Arabidopsis thaliana: one gene and its partners. The protein of the gene in region 2 interacts with the protein of the main gene of each other region in a pairwise test. Each region holds a gene or a part of one and is shown on either strand. Other genes may lie near its edges.

What was found. Proteins that work in one complex are often made in the same cells at the same time.
Region 1: the proteins of AT2G37020 (region 2) and GDC1 interact in a two-hybrid assay, tested with the Arabidopsis thaliana proteins (one large-scale study listed by BioGRID).
Region 3: the proteins of AT2G37020 (region 2) and CB5LP interact in a two-hybrid assay, tested with the Arabidopsis thaliana proteins (one large-scale study listed by BioGRID).

What each region holds. Positions count from the first base shown.
Region 1 is NC_003070.9:18,862,561-18,867,704, reverse strand, and holds GDC1 (Ankyrin repeat family protein), read right to left. Parts: upstream 1,509-5,144; 5' UTR 1,434-1,508; coding exon 1,164-1,433; exon of another isoform or gene 949-1,163; coding exon 691-948; 3' UTR 623-690; downstream 1-622. Other genes in the region: AT1G50910 (uncharacterized protein), read left to right, coding at 1-62, 246-622; AT1G50890 (ARM repeat superfamily protein), read left to right, coding at 1,953-2,666, 2,896-3,087, 3,581-4,240, 4,322-4,427, 4,528-5,123. UniProt on the Arabidopsis thaliana protein: Involved in the import of light-harvesting complex proteins (LHCP) and subsequent routing of these proteins to the chloroplast signal recognition particle (SRP) pathway.
Region 2 is NC_003071.7:15,542,246-15,551,285, reverse strand, and holds AT2G37020 (Translin family protein), read right to left. Parts: upstream 4,873-9,040; 5' UTR 4,776-4,872; coding exon 4,379-4,775; intron 4,145-4,378; coding exon 4,048-4,144; intron 3,972-4,047; coding exon 3,856-3,971; intron 3,151-3,855; coding exon 3,106-3,150; intron 2,971-3,105; coding exon 2,945-2,970; coding exon of another isoform or gene 2,897-2,944; exon of another isoform or gene 2,827-2,896; coding exon 2,691-2,826; intron 2,607-2,690; coding exon 2,494-2,606; 3' UTR 2,249-2,493; downstream 1-2,248. Other genes in the region: TRFL8 (TRF-like 8), read right to left, coding at 27-117, 207-489, 571-661, 745-797, 893-1,079, 1,176-1,244; NAP12 (non-intrinsic ABC protein 12), read right to left, coding at 5,127-5,283, 5,371-5,504, 5,596-5,885, 5,988-6,136, 6,218-6,682, 6,768-7,070, 7,202-8,049, 8,126-8,199 and 4 more.
Region 3 is NC_003070.9:22,341,790-22,346,953, forward strand, and holds CB5LP (cytochrome B5-like protein), read right to left. Parts: upstream 1,481-5,164; 5' UTR 1,166-1,480; coding exon 800-1,165; 3' UTR 501-799; downstream 1-500. Other genes in the region: AtRZ-1b (RNA-binding (RRM/RBD/RNP motifs) family protein with retrovirus zinc finger-like domain-containing protein), read left to right, coding at 1-25, 116-359; AT1G60670 (hypothetical protein (DUF3755)), read left to right, coding at 2,310-2,512, 2,846-2,945, 3,810-3,866, 4,029-4,134, 4,468-4,550, 4,751-4,812, 4,928-5,024.

The DNA.
Region 1 (5,144 bases), on a different chromosome or scaffold from region 2:
AGAAGATACTACAACTAAGGATTGTTCAATTCAGTATCAAACGTTTGTTTCTCCTCTTGGAGGTAAGAATCTCCACAGAATTACTGTATGGTGGTTTCACCTAAGTAGGCTTATATTCGTTTAGAACTGCAATGATTTTAGTGTTTTAGATGGGTCATAAGGTCTTAGCAATGCGATACATAAATTCTCTGTTTCGTACTTCACTGAAAGATTCATGCTTCTGATAGAAAATTGTCCAATTGCAGAAGATATCACACCTTCTCCTCTGCCTGATGCAGACGAAAACGGATATGATACTGCTACAGAGTCTTTGACTCCCATTGCTGAAGCAGCCTCTTCCAAGACTAACGATGAATCCCAAACAGAAGATATGGAAAAAGTAGAAGATGAATCTACAAATCCCGTGAGCTCGGCAAAAATTAACAGAGACACAGTAAAACCAAGATTCAGAGCAACCAAGGTAGCGTTTCTACCTGTAAAAAGACCTTCATCTGCAATAACGCCAAACACCATAGAACAACCCCCATTGAAGAAACAAGAAACTGGCGAGAAAGACAAAAAGGAAGAAGATGGATTTTATAATCTACTCATCCGCGGAACACAGAAAGACAGTTTGTTCTAGCAAACACAAACATTTCAAAACTCAAGAACATAACTTGTGTTGTTCCTGTGTATTAAAACCAAGCGGAGTCAAGCCTTTTGAGTCGAGTAGCCAAGGATCAAATCACGGATCTCTTCACTGTTGGCTCTGTCGATAGCGGTTCTTCCATCAGCGTCCTTGACCGAATAATCAGCACCGGCTTTGAGAAGCTCCTCGATCTTAGGTCTGTCACCTTCTGTAGCGGCTAACATCAACAAGATATCAACTGGGTGAATGTTTAGGTTAAGAAGAGCTTCCATCTTTGAATAGGTTCCTTCTACTGCAAGCATACCCATGTAGTTGAAATACTGCAAAAAACATCACGAACACATAAAATTTATATTTATGTATACATAAAAGTTATATTCAATGTAGCTCTATGTAATGCTTCTTCACATCTACAACTAAAGATTGCAATTCAAGTAGCAAACTTGACGATTTGATTCATCAGAATCCAACCTAAGCGTCTTCTGACTTCTTGGTCGAAACATAAATCAATCTGATTCTTAGTCAAGGGAAAAACCTGTTCGACGTCGTCTCTGTCGAAATCATCTCGAGACTGGCTGCCATAGATTCCGGCATTTTCAGCATCGACACCATTCTTGCCGAACTTGAACCAGCAAGTGGTTCTTGAACCATTGGAGGGTCCTAGTCTGGCAGGTCGGATCCGAAGCTTTAAGTTTCGGGTTCCGAGAAATCTAGAGGAGAGCAGCCTTGGGGAAGAAGAAGTGGTGGAGAAGAGTGAGGTGGCCAAAGAAGGTGCACAGGAGAATGAGATTGAAGAAGAAGCCATGGCTGTTCTCTTAATGCTTCCAACTAAAGCAAAACAGATTCAGTGGTTGTATTATCCACTCATTTTCTCCCTTCTATCTAAAAAAGACTATAAATCTTTTTATTTATTTTATCGATTAATTTTCACCGTTAGATTTCAGATACTGATTTTATTTCCTTTTTCTTTTGTGACAACCACGAAGAATCTATTTTTTCATTTTTTCTTAAAAAACAACAACGAAGCATGACATGGCAAAGACGTGGTCTCCACTCTCTCAAGACCCCAACAGAAAATTTCAGCATTGTCGCCGGAAAAAAACCAGACGTCTTCTTCTTCTTCCTTCTGACCTATTTCTTCTTCACATTCATCATCATCATCCAAACTCAACATTAGCTTTTATCGAATCTACCCTAAATCTCCTAAAACCAGCCATTTCAATGATTCACAAAGCTCTCTAACCCTCACTACTTAAAATCCCACCACCATCACCATCGTTTCCTCTATGTAGTCTTCCTTCATTTCTATCTCTACCAATTTCAAATGCGATCACAAACCGCTTCAAAAACTTCAATGAAACCTTCTTCAAATTCATCTGCGTTCTCCGTCAGATCCTCCGTCGCAGTTTCGTCTCACTCAGCAATGGTTGAATTGAAACAGAGAATCTTAACCTCTCTCTCTAGACTCGGTGATCGCGATACTTATCAGATAGCTGTAGATGATCTCGAGAAAATCGTCGTCTCCGTCCCCGATTCACCCGAAATCCTCCCCGTGCTTCTCCATTGTCTTTTCGATTCCTCCTCCGATCTTAAAGCTCCGGTCAAGAGAGAATCAATTCGTCTCCTCTCCTTTCTTTGCCTCTCTTACACCGATCTCTCCTTTTCACAATTAGCCAAAATCATCTCACACATCGTCAAGCGTCTCAAGGACGCCGATAACGGTGTACGCGACGCTTGTCGCGACGCGATTGGTTCTCTCTCTGCGCAGTTTCTGAAGGAGAAGGAAGTAGAGAATGGAAATTATGTTGGGTCTTCGTTGGTGGGGCTATTTGCTAAACCCTTGTTTGAAGCAATGGCGGAGCAGAACAAAAGCTTACAATCTGGTGCTGCCATTTGTATGGGGAAGATGATTGATTCAGCAACGGAGCCTCCTGTTGCAGCTTTTCAAAAACTGTGCCCTAGAATCTCCAAGCTTTTGAATAGCCCCAATTACATTACTAAGGCTTCACTCTTACCCGTTGTTGGAAGCTTGTCCCAGGTTTGTGCAATGTGGTACATTGCTTGAATTTTCAGCTGCATTTTGTTTGGCTTCGTCTCTAGTTTTGTGGCTACTTGTGTTTCTATGCTAAGAAGATTGGAATGGCATGTTTGTGTGAAGGGATATGCTTACTATTTTCACTATATATCTCTAGTCTGCTTGGTGGTCAAGTCAAATCTACTGGGTACTCTCTATGGATTACATATTTTGAGCTATGGAATTGTTGCAGGTTGGAGCTATTGCACCACAGAGCTTGGAATCATTGCTACACAGCATTCACGAGTGCCTTGGATGTACGAATTGGGTTACTCGTAAAGCAGCTGCTGATGTCTTAATCTCCTTGGCTGTCCATTCTAGTAGCTTGGTTGCAGACAAAACAGATTCCACTCTTACAGCTCTTGAGGCATGTCGTTTTGATAAGGTACTAATAGCTATGATATTTTCTTGAGATATTTCTGGTAGAGGAATCATTGGCTAATATCTATCCAAGGTTAGAAATAAGATTGATACCAAGAAAAGAAATGCAGATTACTCTTAATGGTTATTAAAACATTGCTATTTCCATTCTCTTTCCTTGTCTTCAGCACCTTATGTATACGCTGATCGTGATAGCTGTGTTATAATTTTCTGATCAACTAAACAGAGCCAAAGGTATATAAGCTAGATTGAAAATAAAAGCTTGGATAGCAGTGGCGGATATTTGTTATACACTGTGATTTTCGATGAGCTGAAAGAATTTGCTTAGGCATGTTTTGCTTTGCTAGCATGTAAAAACGATAATTTAGTTTGACTGAGTTATATCCATATCACCATTGCTTAAGAAGGGAACTGCTAGACTGGAATTACATTGTTAATTTTTCCGACATTGTTTTTGCATCATTCTGAAAAGTGGCTACATTTTCTTTGGGTTGCAGATAAAACCTGTTAGAGAAAGCTTGTCTGAAGCACTAAACGTCTGGAAGAACATTGCTGGAAAAGGTGAATCTGGAACAATGGATGACCAGAAGGATGTGTCATCTGAGCAATGTATATTGGAAAGGAATGGAGAAACTGATTCAGTTTCATGTGAGGAAGCAGGACTAGTGATGCAAGGCTCTTGTGATGGTTTGAGCAGTAGTTCAGATTCTATTTCAAAAGCAGTTCTCATTTTGAGAAAGAAGGCACCTCGGTTGACTGGCAAAGATCTTAACCCAGAGTTTTTTCAGAAACTGGAAAAAAGAGGTTCTGGTGATATGCCAGTTGAAGTTATTCTTCCTTCTAGGCAAAAGAATTCGTCGAACTCAAATACAGAGGATGAATCAGACGCCAATACTTCAGTATTAAGGAGTAGGTCAAATGGTTTGTGCAGAACTGCTGGTGTCCATACCAAACAAAGACATTTTGGAGATTTTGCAAGAGAAAAATGGGTTGATGAAAGAATGAACGGAGGCGAATCACGGTTGAGAGCATTTGATGGAGATCATACTGAAGTAATCCAGGCGGACACATCTGAAAACAGAGGGAACTGGCCACCATTACAGAGACAGTTATTGCACTTGGAGAGACAACAAACCCACATAATGAATATGTTGCAGGTACTGATCCGATTTCAAATAAATATAGGGATTCACTTTAAAAAGTTTCTCTATTAAAAGGTAGCATCCTTATCATTGCAGGATTTCATGGGTGGTTCACATGACGGCATGATAAGTTTGGAGAACCGTGTTAGAGGTCTTGAGAGGATTGTAGAAGAGATGTCTAGAGAAATGTCCATACAATCAGGTACGTATAACTGCATGACCTGCGCTGTTAAAACAATTCTACTTGTTGCATCCATTTGAAGAAAGATATTTATTATTTCGAAAACTGTAATTTGCTTCAGGTGCGAGAGGAAAGGCGACTGCATCATGGAGATCTGATGTAGATGGATGGGATAGTCCTAACTATGGACCTTCTTCTAGAAACACTCAGACCAGTACAAGAAAGATACGTGGCACTGGTCCTTCTGAGCAATCAGGTAACAGCAGAAGAGCTTGGGACAAAAGCTCTGTAGCAATTAGACTAGGTGAAGGACCTTCTGCTAGAAGCGTGTGGCAAGCATCAAAAGATGAAGCTACTCTTGAAGCAATACGTGTGGCTGGAGAAGACTGTGGAACATCAAGGAATAGGCGAGTATCTATTCCTGAAGCAGAAGCAATGATGGACGAAGATGATGATAACCGTGGGGGACAACAGGGAGACCCTATCTGGACTTGTTGGAGTAATTCGGTGCACGCACTTCGAGTTGGTGATACCGATTCTGCATTTGCTGAGGTATTATCTACTGGAGACGACCATTTACTTGTCAAGTTAATGGACAAAACCGGTCCTGTTCTTGATCAACTATCGAGTGATATGGGAAACGAGGCTATCCATTCTATTGCACAGTTTCTCCTGGATCATACTCTATATGATATCTGTCTATCTTGGATTCAACAGGTAAAACAAGATTCTTCTTTT
Region 2 (9,040 bases):
CTATAGTCTTAGAGAGTAAGACAAACCATTGAAGTGTGAATGTATTTCTTCATAGGTCCTTTCCGGGGCCTGAAGTCATAGGACTCGCAAGACTTTCTTTCACGAGAAGAATCTAATCTGTAACATTATACAAGAGAGCTTCACTAGGAAATCTGAAGCCAGTGGGATTATATATTCAGAATAAGACTTTAGTCACCGATGATTACCTACTACAAGCGGTGTTGAGCAATTTCTGTTTCCGATTCTTTCGTTTAATCCAAGAGCCTATAAATGTGGATAGTGGTTTCTTGTCATCTTCTGACTCATTTGTATCCCAACTATCTTTAACTTTTTCGCTGGATACAATCTGGGATTCAGCATATGGAACAGTTTCTTTTGACCACTCCGCGAGTCCGATGCTTCCACTAATTCCAGGAGAATAAGATTCTGAACTGAAGTTCATAAGACCATAGGGGTCACCCTCTAATTCATTCTTCTTGACTTCAGTTTCTGCAAGTAAATGATTGAATGGATTGTGAACCGTATAGATTGCTCAGTTGCACCAGGATGATAGAATCACAAAAATTTTACCTGGAGGGAAATGGTTAACAATAGAAGAAAGCTCATGTGATGCGTAGATATCTTCCACTTCATCAACTCCATCCAGAATTCCATCAAGAATCTACGAGATGACGAAGAAACTTTATTTCACGAATGACCAAGAAAAAAAAACCATGTAAAGGAGTGCATAAAGAGAACACATACTTCAAACTTTAAACCTGCTTCCACATCTTGAGTGCTAAAAGTGTTAACTCCACCTTAGAAAAAATGAAAGAGAACTCTAACATTAACCATACTCCCATTTACAATGTTACAAAGCCATTCAGCATAAAGAGCATTTGAATCGACTTACCATAATCTGGGAGAAAGCTAACGTCAAATCCATGTGAAAACTCCTCCATCTTGGAGGTTAAGCCCATATTCTCCATACCAAGACCTAAGAAACTGTCCACCGCGGTATTATCATGATGAGGATCCATTAGGAAATGCTTCATGTCACTCATTTTATCCTCCATTGAATGGCCAAGATTCTCATCAACCTATAAAGAAAATATATAAAAGTCATGTAATAAATTCATCATCCAAATGTAGAAAACCAAGAAACACACAAGTGATGAAGAAGAAGATGTTCTCACACTGGCAGATTTGAATCCAGCAAAAGTATCAGGAAAACCGGGTGTTGTTTCCATCCCAAAAGGTCCCATTTCAAGTCAAGGTCCAAGTTTTTACACTGCAAAGAACCAAGTATATGTCACAATAATTGAACAGAACCGGACAATGTTGCCCATAAACCAATCTAACTTACATGCTACATTCACGAAACTAGATCTCATTTCTCTCTATATATGCATGTTATCCCAATCCATTAGATTCATCCATGTTTTTTAAGCACTAATAAACAAATTCACAACATGAAACATGTTCTCTCCAAATTAAAAAACATTAATTTGCCTCAAATCTAGTGAAAATATATAAATAAGTAATATAAGATTTACTTAAGAACAGAGGACAGACATTCTATGCAATTACAGTATAAAGAAACAGAGTAGCCAGACAAATTTCTGTCGGATGATCTCAGTCTCATTGACAGAATAGATAAACACAAATAAAGAAAAATCAAAACTCTCAGCAGCTACAGAAGCGTCAATGTTTTAAATGTTTATCACAACATTCAAAATGCAAATGCAATATAGAAAAAAAAAAAAAAACATAAAAGAAATATACGTATAATGTGGGCCATAGAGACGACTCACAGCTGTTACATTAGAAAATAATAATAAAAATATAACTTTCCAGGGAAGAAAAAAAAGAAAAGAAAAGAAAATCCAGCTGCTTAGCTTATCCCCTTCCTTTAACTAAACACCTGCAATTTGAAGAAACTAACAATCCGAGAAAAAATCGAACGATATCATACATTACATTTGTGTTGGAAAAGAGATCGTTCAAGTTCAAGAGAGAATCTAACACAATGTCAGCGAAAAGAATAGTACTCGAAGCTAAGAAAAAAGATACCAAAGAGAGACGACGAGAGGAGACGAAGAACACTGACGCAGGAGGGGAAATGGCGACTGTTAGACTTGGATTTTGTTTTTTTGTCTTTGTTTCGGATTCCAAAAGCTGATTTATTTAGTTTTGAAATCCAAAATGACGTAAGACACCGTCAAATATAACGTGCGTTTCAAGTCCGCAACGATGGACAGGTGGAGTTCATGAACATCTACTGTTATACTATTAAGCTGCTGACTTCGGATAACAGTAAAGTTGTGACTAAAATGTGGGCTTTCAAGGCCCACAAAAGGAATACTTGCCGTTTTCAGTAATTGCAAACTACACCTAAAAACTACAGTCTCTCTATTTTCCTTGCCGTTTTTGGTTTAGAGAAGAACACTCCTTGACGTTTTCATGCTAGCTAAACAAAGTTATACATAAAAACTTAAAAAGAGCCGAGGACATTTAGGATTGGCCTTGGACTGCTTGGACGCCAGGAGGATCTCCGCCGGAAATCAAACCTCGGATCTTGACATCATAGTAAACTTCTTCCACTCTTCTTAGGTCGTACTTCATACCTGTCACATGTCAAAATCGATTTTTTTTTTATGTAACCATCGCAAATGGAGAAAGAAGAGCAGTTAGAGATATGTATGACTTACTGTCGAATTTCTTGCGCAGGAAATCGTTCCTGAGATTGAGCATGCGAAAGGCTGCATGAAGATCTGTCAGGAAATTCATCACCTTTCTTGGGCAGTCATAGTCTCCTGCTGTCACTCGATTAACCACGTACCTAGGCTGCTCAAACATTGCATCACCCATTTGCATTTATCCAAAGGTTTTTCATAAGTTGCTATCAAGTAGGATGCTAAGGGGGAAGATGGAAAGTAAGATTTAGGGATAAAAATGATCTTACCAAATCGTTTGACATGAAACAAATTCCTGCAAAGTATTCAAAAAGCTGAAGATCAGAGAATATAAAAGCAATGTTGCGATTCATAAAATGCTCGTAAGGCATATTTGATCTATAGATATTGGCCTTCCAGAGCAAATATGGGTTCTTTCTCAGAAACTTACCAGTGAGATAATCTTCTGTCTCCAATCCAAACTCCAAACTGTTCACTGAAGTACAATGAAGTGGAATTAGAAGAGCCATAATGGCAGATGAATTGACCAACACCTTGTTCTGTTTATTTTACTCAAAGACAATTGATTTGACAAGATAACAAAACCCAGATTTGAAACAAAACGACACTTGGGCAAATATCTATTCTACACCAACGTAATGAAAAACCAACCTTCCAATTATCATCCATCCATCCTAAGGGAGAATAACTGAGTTCATGGGAAACGGCAACTAATAACTCTATTGAGGTGAAAAAATCAAATCTTAGCTAAATGGTTGACACTACAGTGGATAAAATGCAGACTGAAACAAAGCCTAAGGACAAAATCAATAACAACGAGCAAGAAAAGGTAGACTAATTAACATACTGATAAGAGAAGAAGACTAGTGGCAAACTGAATCTGATTATTGAGAAAAGTAGAAAACTCGTTCATTTAGTTTTTCCAACTGAGACAGGTCAGGCAAAAGGAGGGTCACAGGATAACACGTATAGTATGTTGGAGTCATGAACGGATTTCAAATTGATTGCCTACTGCCAGCTCAGTTGTTACCTATTGTGGGAAGGAAGTTTCTATACAAAAGTTTGTGAGAGAACTAGCAAAACAAAATAAGGTTTTATTTATAGTGCAACCACTAGGCCATGATATGTATTTCAGTATTTGGAAGTAAGGAAAATAGTAAATTGAGATCCAGAGACATACACCCAAGTTTTTCTTCAGCTTCGGTATGCACGAGAAGAGTTCCAGTTTCTAGCCAGTGCATAAAAGCAAGCTGGGAGACCACTGCCTGTGTTTCACTTCTCCAGTCTCCATGGTACCTACATTACAAAAACCTTTTAACAAAAAACCATTGCAAATAAAGAAAATCTAACTACACATAGCTTTCAAACTTACCTATAGTATTGTCCAGGACACTCCTCAAGAATTTCAGCAAGCCGACCATAATACTGCTTCAAATCAACGATTTTTTCCTTAGCTTTCTCGATAACCTCTGATCCATCAACAAAACGAGCAATCTATATTAGTAACAACCAAACACTTCCAATGAATTTCTTAAAAGAACAAAGGCTATGTGTAATTCAATATTCATTCTTTTCTCAACAAGTTCTTCATTTTTAGTTACTTCCCTTCATAGAGAACTTCATCACCAAGTTCTGAACCCATCAAGCCATTTCAAACATTTAGCTAAAAGATGCAATTTTTAACCTAAAGACTAATCATTTACCAGGAATAGGACGCGATTGATGAACGAGAAGAAGATTAGCTTGAATAAGCCTAGTAGCAGACTCAATCTCCATAACCACAGCACGAATCTGCTCTCTCAAAGCTGCAGATTCTTCCAATTGAACACGGAAACTCTCGAACTGCTTCTCAAGCGAATGAGACACCTGACCATCTCCTCCCGCCATAGGAATGTAGAAAGAAGAAAAGGAAGAAGTCGAACAGAAGGGAAAGGAAGATGAAGGAGACACCGAGTTTCTATGCCGGAGAGGATTGGAACGGCGAGGAGAAGCGTCGCCGGAACAGAGAGGAAGAAAATGGAGAATCGAAGAAGAAAAGGGCTTAGGGTTTATCAAACGAGACGCAGTGATGTGAACGTTTCGAAACGCCGAATTCATCATCGTGTCGTGTTTTTTAGTTACGCCGCTTCCCTATTCTCTTTCCGACATCATCTTAGTAACCAATTAAACCGGATCATATAAACCAAAGAATCGTAACTGAAAATAAACCGATTTCTTTGTATATCATTCTCTGTATGACTCTATCTTACCAAAACCGGTTACCATATAAAGAAAGAAAAAGCATGATGAATAATCACCATTATCTACAAATAAAAATTACAAAATTGGAATTCTAAAATCCCTTCTTCTCTAATTCTATAAACTACTTATATAACTCATTTAATATTTAACGTATGAAAAATAGAAGAATTTTACAAAATGTAAGCTTTTTAATCATGTGTAATTATTAGATTATTTCTTCTGGAATGTAACCATGCAGAAATAAGCTATGAATCGGCATATTAGTCCCATGAGAACGAGAACAATGAGACACAATATCCAATCACTAAGATCATATCCGTTTTGAGACAATGAACTGCATCTAGTCACCACCCACACTCCAGAGTACCTAACCCAAAAAAAAGAGTCCAAAATCAAATTTTCTGAATTAAGATTTGATTATGTGTTAGAAGAATTAAATCTTCAAACTTTCTACCTTTGAGCATTGGAAAGGACAAAGGCTTCGAGAGTCCATTTGGGGTAGCAAAAGCTTCCGAGATACTTAAGGACCATGCTTTCTTTATCTTGATTAGCGATAAGAGTCATAACAACGGGGACTAACACCGACAACTGCAAGAACATAACAGCAAATTCAGGTACCATATGGTTAGTGAAAATTTTGGTTCCTTCATATATGAATTATGAGAAAGTGAGGACAAACCAATTGTGCGGCGCTAGGACTGTACAATATGGCAAAAATGTAAGCCATGCCTGTTACACAGTAGACCAAGCATACTAGTACAATGTAGTTGTCTTCGAAACTAGATCTCGGGTTGTTGAAGAAGTAGAACATGGACAAGTACACTAAAGGTTTCATAATTGTGTTTAAATGGTCCATTGTGTCTTTAGCCATAAAATGTGCCAAACTGCTAATTCCAGCGGCACTTTCTCTCCAATATTGTAATTTATCTACAGAGAATGATCTCAATGCCGAGATCTTACACAAAAGAGCTACAAAAAAAGAAAGACATACAGAAAAGAGCTTAGTTAACGTTCCAAAAATCGCGAATACTAGTAAATGTAAATTAATATTTGTGTACGTAAGAAACTTACAGACAGCTATTATGGTGTATGTGTAGCCAAGTGTATCGATTGTCTCGTCGTTCACCTTCGCAAGAGTTCCTAAACAAGCTCCCGCAACTAATAATATTAGGAAATCTAACGCTTGTAGTCTTGCTTCTCTAAGCCGTTGTTTTCCAACCCTGAAATAGATAGACTAAAGTTTTAATGTACATATGAAATTAACCACAAAATTCCATCTATCAAATCTAGAAAAATCATACCTTCCAACAAAATATCTATATTGTCGACCTACGGTAGGAGTTACTCGATTAGAATTGTCATGAGAATTCGAGTAATTGTGTTGTAACTGATCTTTTGTAATCTCCACATTAGTTTTCACATCTTGCCATAGATCATTACTAAAAGAATTATGAGTGGAATCCTCTTGAGCTGATCCAGTTGACGAGGAAGGAAGTCCATCACAAAATTTCAACATATCGTGAGGCACAGGGTAACCATTGTGCAGCATCCATCTCACAGGAAGTTGTTCTATAGTTATATCACCATCTGGTTTCACAATGCCTTCAAGAATATCTATATAATGATCAGGAGGATTGACACGATCGGGAACCGTGATTCCGATATCAGCAAAATATTCTTCTATTTTTTTGACTGATCCATGGTACACGGTAAGACCACCTTTTGCTAGTATTATCATGTCATCGAACATTTTGTACATTGTATAACTAATAAGAGGAAAAAACCAATTATTAAGCAAAAAGTATTTCTTAACATAAAATTGTAACATAATTCATGGAGGAGATAACATACCTGGGTTGATGGACGACCATACAAATGTTAACACCTTCAAGTGCTTCACGTCGAAGTGCTCTAAGAAGTAATTGTGAAGATGCACTATCTAAACCTGTAGTGGGTTCATCTAATATCAATAGAGAAGGTTCCATGACCATTTCAACACCAACGTTCACACGTTTTCTTTGTCCTCCAGAGATTCCTCTTTTTTCTATCGTACCAACCAACGAGTCTCTTACATGTTGTAATCCTAAGCTTTCAATCACTCTTTCAATGATCAAAACTTTGTCTGCTTTTGACATATAAGCACTTAATCTGCATGTAAAGAAACATATATAAATAAATGATATGCAACATTTTTTTGAAGCATAAACACTATGTAATAAAAATGTATTTTTTTAAGAATTGGACTCTCAATCTCCTCTATGATATGAGAATAAATTTACCTGCATCTTGCGCTAAATCGAAGGTTCTCTTCGACGGTAAGATTGCCATGCACAACATCATCTTGTGGCACAAATCCAGTGATCTTCTTATACGAGTTTATAGAGTCATTTCTACCATTTATAAGGATTAGACCCGTCCTCGTACATCCAGTTGCTTTTCCTGCCAAGGCAGAAAGAAATGTAGTTTTTCCAGCTCCTGATGGACCCATGACCGCAGAAACACGACCTGGCATGATCTTTCCGGTGACAGATCTCAATATATGCTTATGTTTACCCTTCAATGTAAGAGTTAGATCCTTAAACGCGACTTCTATAACAGGTCTAGTCCTCATCTCAGTGTCAGTAGCCATTGAAATAACTCCCGAGAATGTCAAGTTCTTGTTGTTTTGTTCCATAGCTTTCTCCTTCTCAATCTGACCATATGCATACTTAAAAATCTGGCTTTGGGTATGTAGTTGTTTACCCTTTGGAGCTTGTGGCTTCTTCCCAGGTTTACTACCGGTTCCTACATTGAATCCTTCGTTGTTACTCGGGTTCTCCTCCATTGATTTCATCATCTTGGTTAAATTACTCGGTTCTTTTTTCTTGTCTTTTGACTTTCCCGATGCTTTAACTGGTGTGGCATCCTTTCTAGCAGATTTCATGCGAGAAAATGTTTGAGATAGTTGTGCAGACAATCCCATCTTTTGGTTCTTGGCAACACCTTTTGCGGTTTTCCACCTTTCTCGAGCTTGTGTTGTTTCTTTTGCATGTCTCGCTGCAGCTTCTCTCGACTTTGCTTGTCTTTTTTCTCGAGTGGCGAGAACTTGATCAGAACAGTTATAAACCATGATCATGAGAAGACTTAGTGATGCCTATATATACAATAACGAAAATATAATTTCCAACAAATTTTAAAGCAAAATGTATTCTAATTAACTAACAACTTACAATTAAGATCGCTCCATAGGCATGAATATTTTGGTTTGCGGTATTCGGATTGCATGTTGCGAGCTTAAAACATGCTAAAACGGTCACCAAAAAGAGAATTAATGAATGATAATGATATTATAAAACAATTCATTTTCTTAGGTTTTAGTGTTTTAGAAACTTACGTTTCTGTGACGTAGAACCTTGTCTGCAGTAATGTCTAAGTAATACATAAAAACATTAATTACATCCTTAATGATGAATATTTCATATATGAAACAAATTTTCAAAAAGTAACAAGAGTTGTGAGATAAAAGAATCAATACCCACTACTACAAGTGACTTTTCGAATCGTTGTTGGGCAATATGAACCTGGTGAACAAAACATATCACCACTACTCTCAGCATCAACCCAACTATCTGCAGAACCACATGTATGATTCAACTTTCCCGGAGGAATTTGGTAGTTATATCTGCAATGTAAAAACTCTTTAAATCATCCACTAATAAGATTTTTCATTAACTTACTCAATCTAGAAAGCTAACAACTTACGGCTCACAAAATCCTGTTGTTTTATTAAGCTTGGCAAGCGGGCAATATGCGCCTAACGGACACGCTTCGTTTACATAAATCAGAGAATAAACAACAATGAATATGTTAGATTAAAGTTTTAGTACTTATAATGTTGATATAACATATATGTATGTAAATGGATATCTTACGTATCATGCAAGCAAGACCTTGTGGACAAAAGAAACCCTCACAACAAGGTTGACATTTACGAGTTCTAGATGGAAGAATTTTTCCATTGTTGAGATCAAATCTTTTTTCATCATCTGCATTGCAACTCCATCCAGGCTCACATCCGGAAACCCATTTAGCTAAATTGCAGTTGATGTTAGGCTTTACATGAACCGTTGTTGCTTCATCTCTTC
Region 3 (5,164 bases), on a different chromosome or scaffold from region 2:
CTCGTGATCACTATCCATTTGAGAGGTTTGTAGCTCTTGTCCTCAGGTCTAAATAAATGTTCCAACATGTGTTCTTTTAGGAAAGTCATGACCTTTTGATGTATTAACAATGTAGATACGCACCACCAGGAGACCGTTTTGTGAGTGATAGGTATGGGATGCCTGAACATCATCTTGAGAATGAATATCGCGGGAGAGAGAGAAGCTATGACAGGGACAGATACGCAAGGGATACAAGTGACAGATATGGAGATATGGGACCGATACGCGATGAGGGAAGACCCTACAGAAGCAGACCAGGTCCTTATGACCGTCCTAGCCGTCCTGGAGGCAGACCTTCATCATATGAACGTTGGTAGTTTGTTTTGGTTAACCAGATGTCAATGCTTATGCTTTGGGATTTAGGTCTATATCAGAGATAGAACTCGAACTCGAGATCTCTGTTATGCTTTTTTGTCGAATATTATGATTCTTCATCGCAGTAAAAAAGTTATGTTCTTATGATCCTATTGATTCCCATAAAGCAATTCAATAGATTAAACTCAAAATTGATGGATTTAAAACACTTGAGACAGAGTTAAGCATAGAACACTTGAAACAGAGCATAGCTTCACCATGAAAATTAAGAGAAAGGAGGAAACTTTGGCAATACAATGGAAGAAGAAGTGTTACACTAGCAAGACAAAAAGGTAATGCAATCTCAAATCTTCAATGAGAAGAGAATTAAAAAAGCCATCTTTAAGCTTACTTAAGAAGAAATCTCAAATCTTCAATCAAATCTCAAATCTTTAAGCTTTTACTAATGAAGTTCCCCGATGTAGAAATCTTCAATCATGTCGAAAACACGAGTGGCGTGTTGAGGTCCGAAGAAGCCATCAGTAGAATCATCACCAGCATGATCAAGAATAGCGTCACCACCAGGATGTTCTTCAACATAAGAAGTAATATCATAGACTTTATCTTTGATTATGATCCAACAATCGTTCCTTTTGTTATGTACTGCGACTTCACTCTTGCTGTAACTTTTTGGTCTTACCACATCTTCTACAGGCTCACTGCTAGATCTCTTCTTCTCTTGATTGTCGTTTGTTCTTCTTCGCTTTCCTTGGATTAAGAACAATGCTGATACTAGAAAACCCAGAAGCAATCCGATCACAGCTATCATCTTTCTCTCCTTGGAAATAGCAAAACCGGAGTGAATGACAATTGGAGAGAGTGGTGGATTAGATCCAGCTTGCTGACGAGTGACGACCCAAATTATTGAATTTAGGGTTTAGAGGGGCATAAAAGTCAAAACACAACGTTTTCATTGTCCTCATCTTCGTTAGTGGTTGTCGAGGTTTCTAACCAAAAAGCATCTCCACGTCTATGCAAAAATGAAGTTGTAGTTATTTTGGTTATTACTCGAACCTGAGACCCATGCATCTAATTTTTTTTCTCCTTCTCCCCGGCGAATCCTACTATTATCGATTAACTAATTTGATGTCTCATTTTTGTCTATGCACAAATTCAACTTGATTATTTAGGTATATAAGTAAATAAAAGATTTATCATAAAATTACACATGTAAAAGTTTGAAACAAATTTAATTATTCATAACTCACATAAGACATGTAAAAAAAAACAAAAAAAACAAATGTCACTTAGTGAAATGGATACCAAACTTTATGATTTATAATACCTTGTTGTAATTTAAATATCTGAATTTCCAAAGTGTAGGTGACTGTGTAATTCACAAAAATTGAGTAAAAGTTTAAAAAAATAAGGAGGAACAAACCATCTTTCTTCAAAGAGTGGACTAGACAAAAACAAAAAAGCAAAACCACCACAATGGAATAAAAAGTGGTTCTGTTTCTTAATAGAATAAAAACCATTACAAAACAAAACCACCATTTTCTCTCTCTCTCTCCTCGCCAGCTTCTGCAATTCGAAAGTTCTTCGCATCATCTTGCTGTCACCACTCTCTCGCGAATCGAATCACGATTCTTCAATCTTCTTCTTCTCTATTGCGATCTCTCTGAATTTTGTAGCTTCACGATTTCAGTATCTCTACTTTCATCACCAATCGTTGGGGGTTTAGGGTTTTTGCATCGACGCCATCTATCGAGCTACGGAGAAGCATACTCATCTTCTATTTTGGCTAAATCCGAGGTGGGTTTTGCTCAGGTTTTGCTCTTTTAGGTTTCTGTTGGGTTTTAATCGGATTTTTTTCCGTATGATTCTGAAATTGCTAAAACCCTAAATTGAACATGTTTTTGGGCGTGCTTCGTTGTAGGTCAACTTAATCTCTACGAAATAGCTTTTGAGTGATGATTCCGATGGATAATTATTGCGTACCGAGTACTAGCACGACCGGTTTAGTGTTTTCGGCGACTTCGAGCATGAATGCTTCTTCTGGATTTCATCTTACTGTAAATTCTCCGACTTCGGTTACTGGACTCAAACATGAAGCTTCTTTGGCTGTTGATTGGTCTGTTGAGGAACAATATATATTGGAGAAAGGTCTTTCAAAGTAAGTATTTTTGTTATTCTCCATTGTTCTTCGTTCTCTGCAAATTTTCTCACTTCGTAGCTATTATACAATGTTAGAGTAGATAAATTTTTATATGTAGATGAAGGAAAAGGTTTTGCATTTATGTTTCATATGAACTGTTATAGCTCGTGTTGTTATCTGGAATCATAAGCTGATTCAGATTCTTATAGATGTATTTTGTATCAGAAAATTTCTACGAAAGATGGCTGAGTTTTTCTCTGTGTTAGTTTCTTACCTTGCGCTGTTTTATGTTGTTTCGAGTTTGTCTTTTATTGTTTTGTTTGCCTAAAACCTTTGTCATGTCTTTTGTAGATTTAAAGATGAACCACAAGTTACAAAGTATGTAAAGATCGCAGCAACTCTACCAGATAAAAGTGTACGGGATGTAGCAATGAGATGTAAATGGATGACGGTAAGTTCCCAATGCATTGTCATTAAGTTTCATAAGTGGCTTGCAGACTTCTTATTAGTTGTTATTCAAAGAGATCTTGGTAACGTCATTTAGCTTGGGAGATGAAAAAAGGAGGAAAAACATAGTGACGCTACTTTGGGTGTATGCTTTGTTAAAGATAAAGTCCTATGGGAAAAGTTCTTTTATATTTTTTTGGCTATAAGGTAGGCTTAAAGTTCTATTGCTATATTGATGAAAAGACACCTTACCATATCATAAAGGTTGTTTAAAGTATGGTTAAGAGTGTGCAAGGAGAGTAATAACAAGTATTGCTGACGATAGATCTGGCTTTCTGTTAGCTCTGGAGTCATGTTGGAACTTGATTTGACCCTAAAGCTTGATTTGATTTCTGTAGTTACCCTGAAACTAATATCGCCAAACGAGTGATGTCAGATAGCCTTGGGCTTTTTTCGACTTTCTGAAGTTTATTTTGATATGTTACTTTTTATGAAGGATAAGATTTCTATGAGCGATGGTTAAACATTGGTTATATCCTCTGCAGTATGGCCTACACTGTAGTGTTAAGATTCATATAATAAATGGGGGAAAAAAGTTGACAGATTATAGTGCCAAATATTACCTTATTGGCTTATCCATACTATCTATCCTGTCATATTTTTTTTATGAAGTTGGGCTGAAGAAATAGATAGATTTTTTATGACTTGAGTTGTACAAGCAGATATATGACTCATACAAACATAAGTCTTGACACGGGGCCTTTTTAACATTAATAATAACTGCCAGTTTGCTATCTAATATCTTTCAACTATTTAAATTCATGACTTTTGAGTTTGTCTGGGCTAAGATTGAAATCCTTTTTTTCAGCAAAAGCGAAGAAAAGGGGAAGAACATAGTACTGGCACGAAGGTTAGTTATAGAAAGGTATGTAATGTTAGTAAATAACCAGATAACGGTTGGTGGCCTAGGTTATAGTTCGCTTTACAAGAGGTTATTGGCTACAAATGGTTTTTTGTTCAAAACAGCTACAAATTTGTTCTCCTTGAGATACCCAACACACAAGTAACTGATTTCTCCTTGATTTAGGTAGTGGATTTACCCCCAAAACTGAACATGTTCTCAACTGAGCCACAACAAAATGCTACATATGCCATGAACCATATGTGCCAGAGTGCACGCATGCCTTTTGAAGGTTAGTACTATTTGGGTAACACCGTAACAGTATTGTCGGTATTATTTCCTTCCCTCTCCTGCAAAGGTTGTAACTGTAAAGAAAGATTATTTTAGAAAGACAAACTGCATCTTGTTTGAAATCTCAATCAAATGTACTAGGCAATTTGTTGTTCATCTTGTTCATGCCTGAATATAGGCATTATCGATGTTGGAGAGTTCCTGGACTCTCTCAGTTATTGTCTCATCTCCTTAGTTGTGCCAAGAAAACTCAATCTTGTTAGCTTGATACCTTTTTCTCACCTGTCACATTTTTACGGTCTCATATATATTTTCCAAACTTTTATTCTCCTAGGTCTAAGTGATGCGGTTATGGAGCGTCTACGGCAGAATGCTCAAGCTTTCAGTCAAATCTCCTCAAACCTTTCTGTGTGCAAGGTAATTGATTTGTATCTGATCCAAATGCTAGCTGGTAGAAAAAGATTGCATTAGCAGAAAATTGACTTTAAAAAGATCGTAGAATGTATTTTTCACATGCACAATGTTTTATTCAATGCAACTTATTGTTTGGTTGGGATACATGCTGTTGTCCTTTCGTAATGGAATTCCCATCCTGACATCCTATTTTCTGCATACAGCCACAGGATAACGTCAGTCTGTTTTATATGGCAAGAAATAACATCAGTGCCATCTTGAATGAGTATGTGGATCTAATAGCATGGTTGAATCACTAATGATACATTTCCTCTGTTGTCCTTCACCTTCTCGTCTATGAAAGCTTGATTTACTATACTCTTTACTTATTATTACTGCAGCATGAAGGAGATGCCTGGGATCATCAGCCGGATGCCGCCTCTGCCTGTCTCAATTAACAATGATCTTGCAAGCAGTTTAGTGACAAGTGCCACACAGGTAAGCAATCTTGCATTTTCTCTGAACGTGGATATTCCTGAATATGTAAGGGATTAAAAACCTCAAATGCTTCCCTTACCAAATTTGCCTCTGTTTCATGAAAAAATGTCTAATCGCTTCAAATCATAGGACTTCCATAA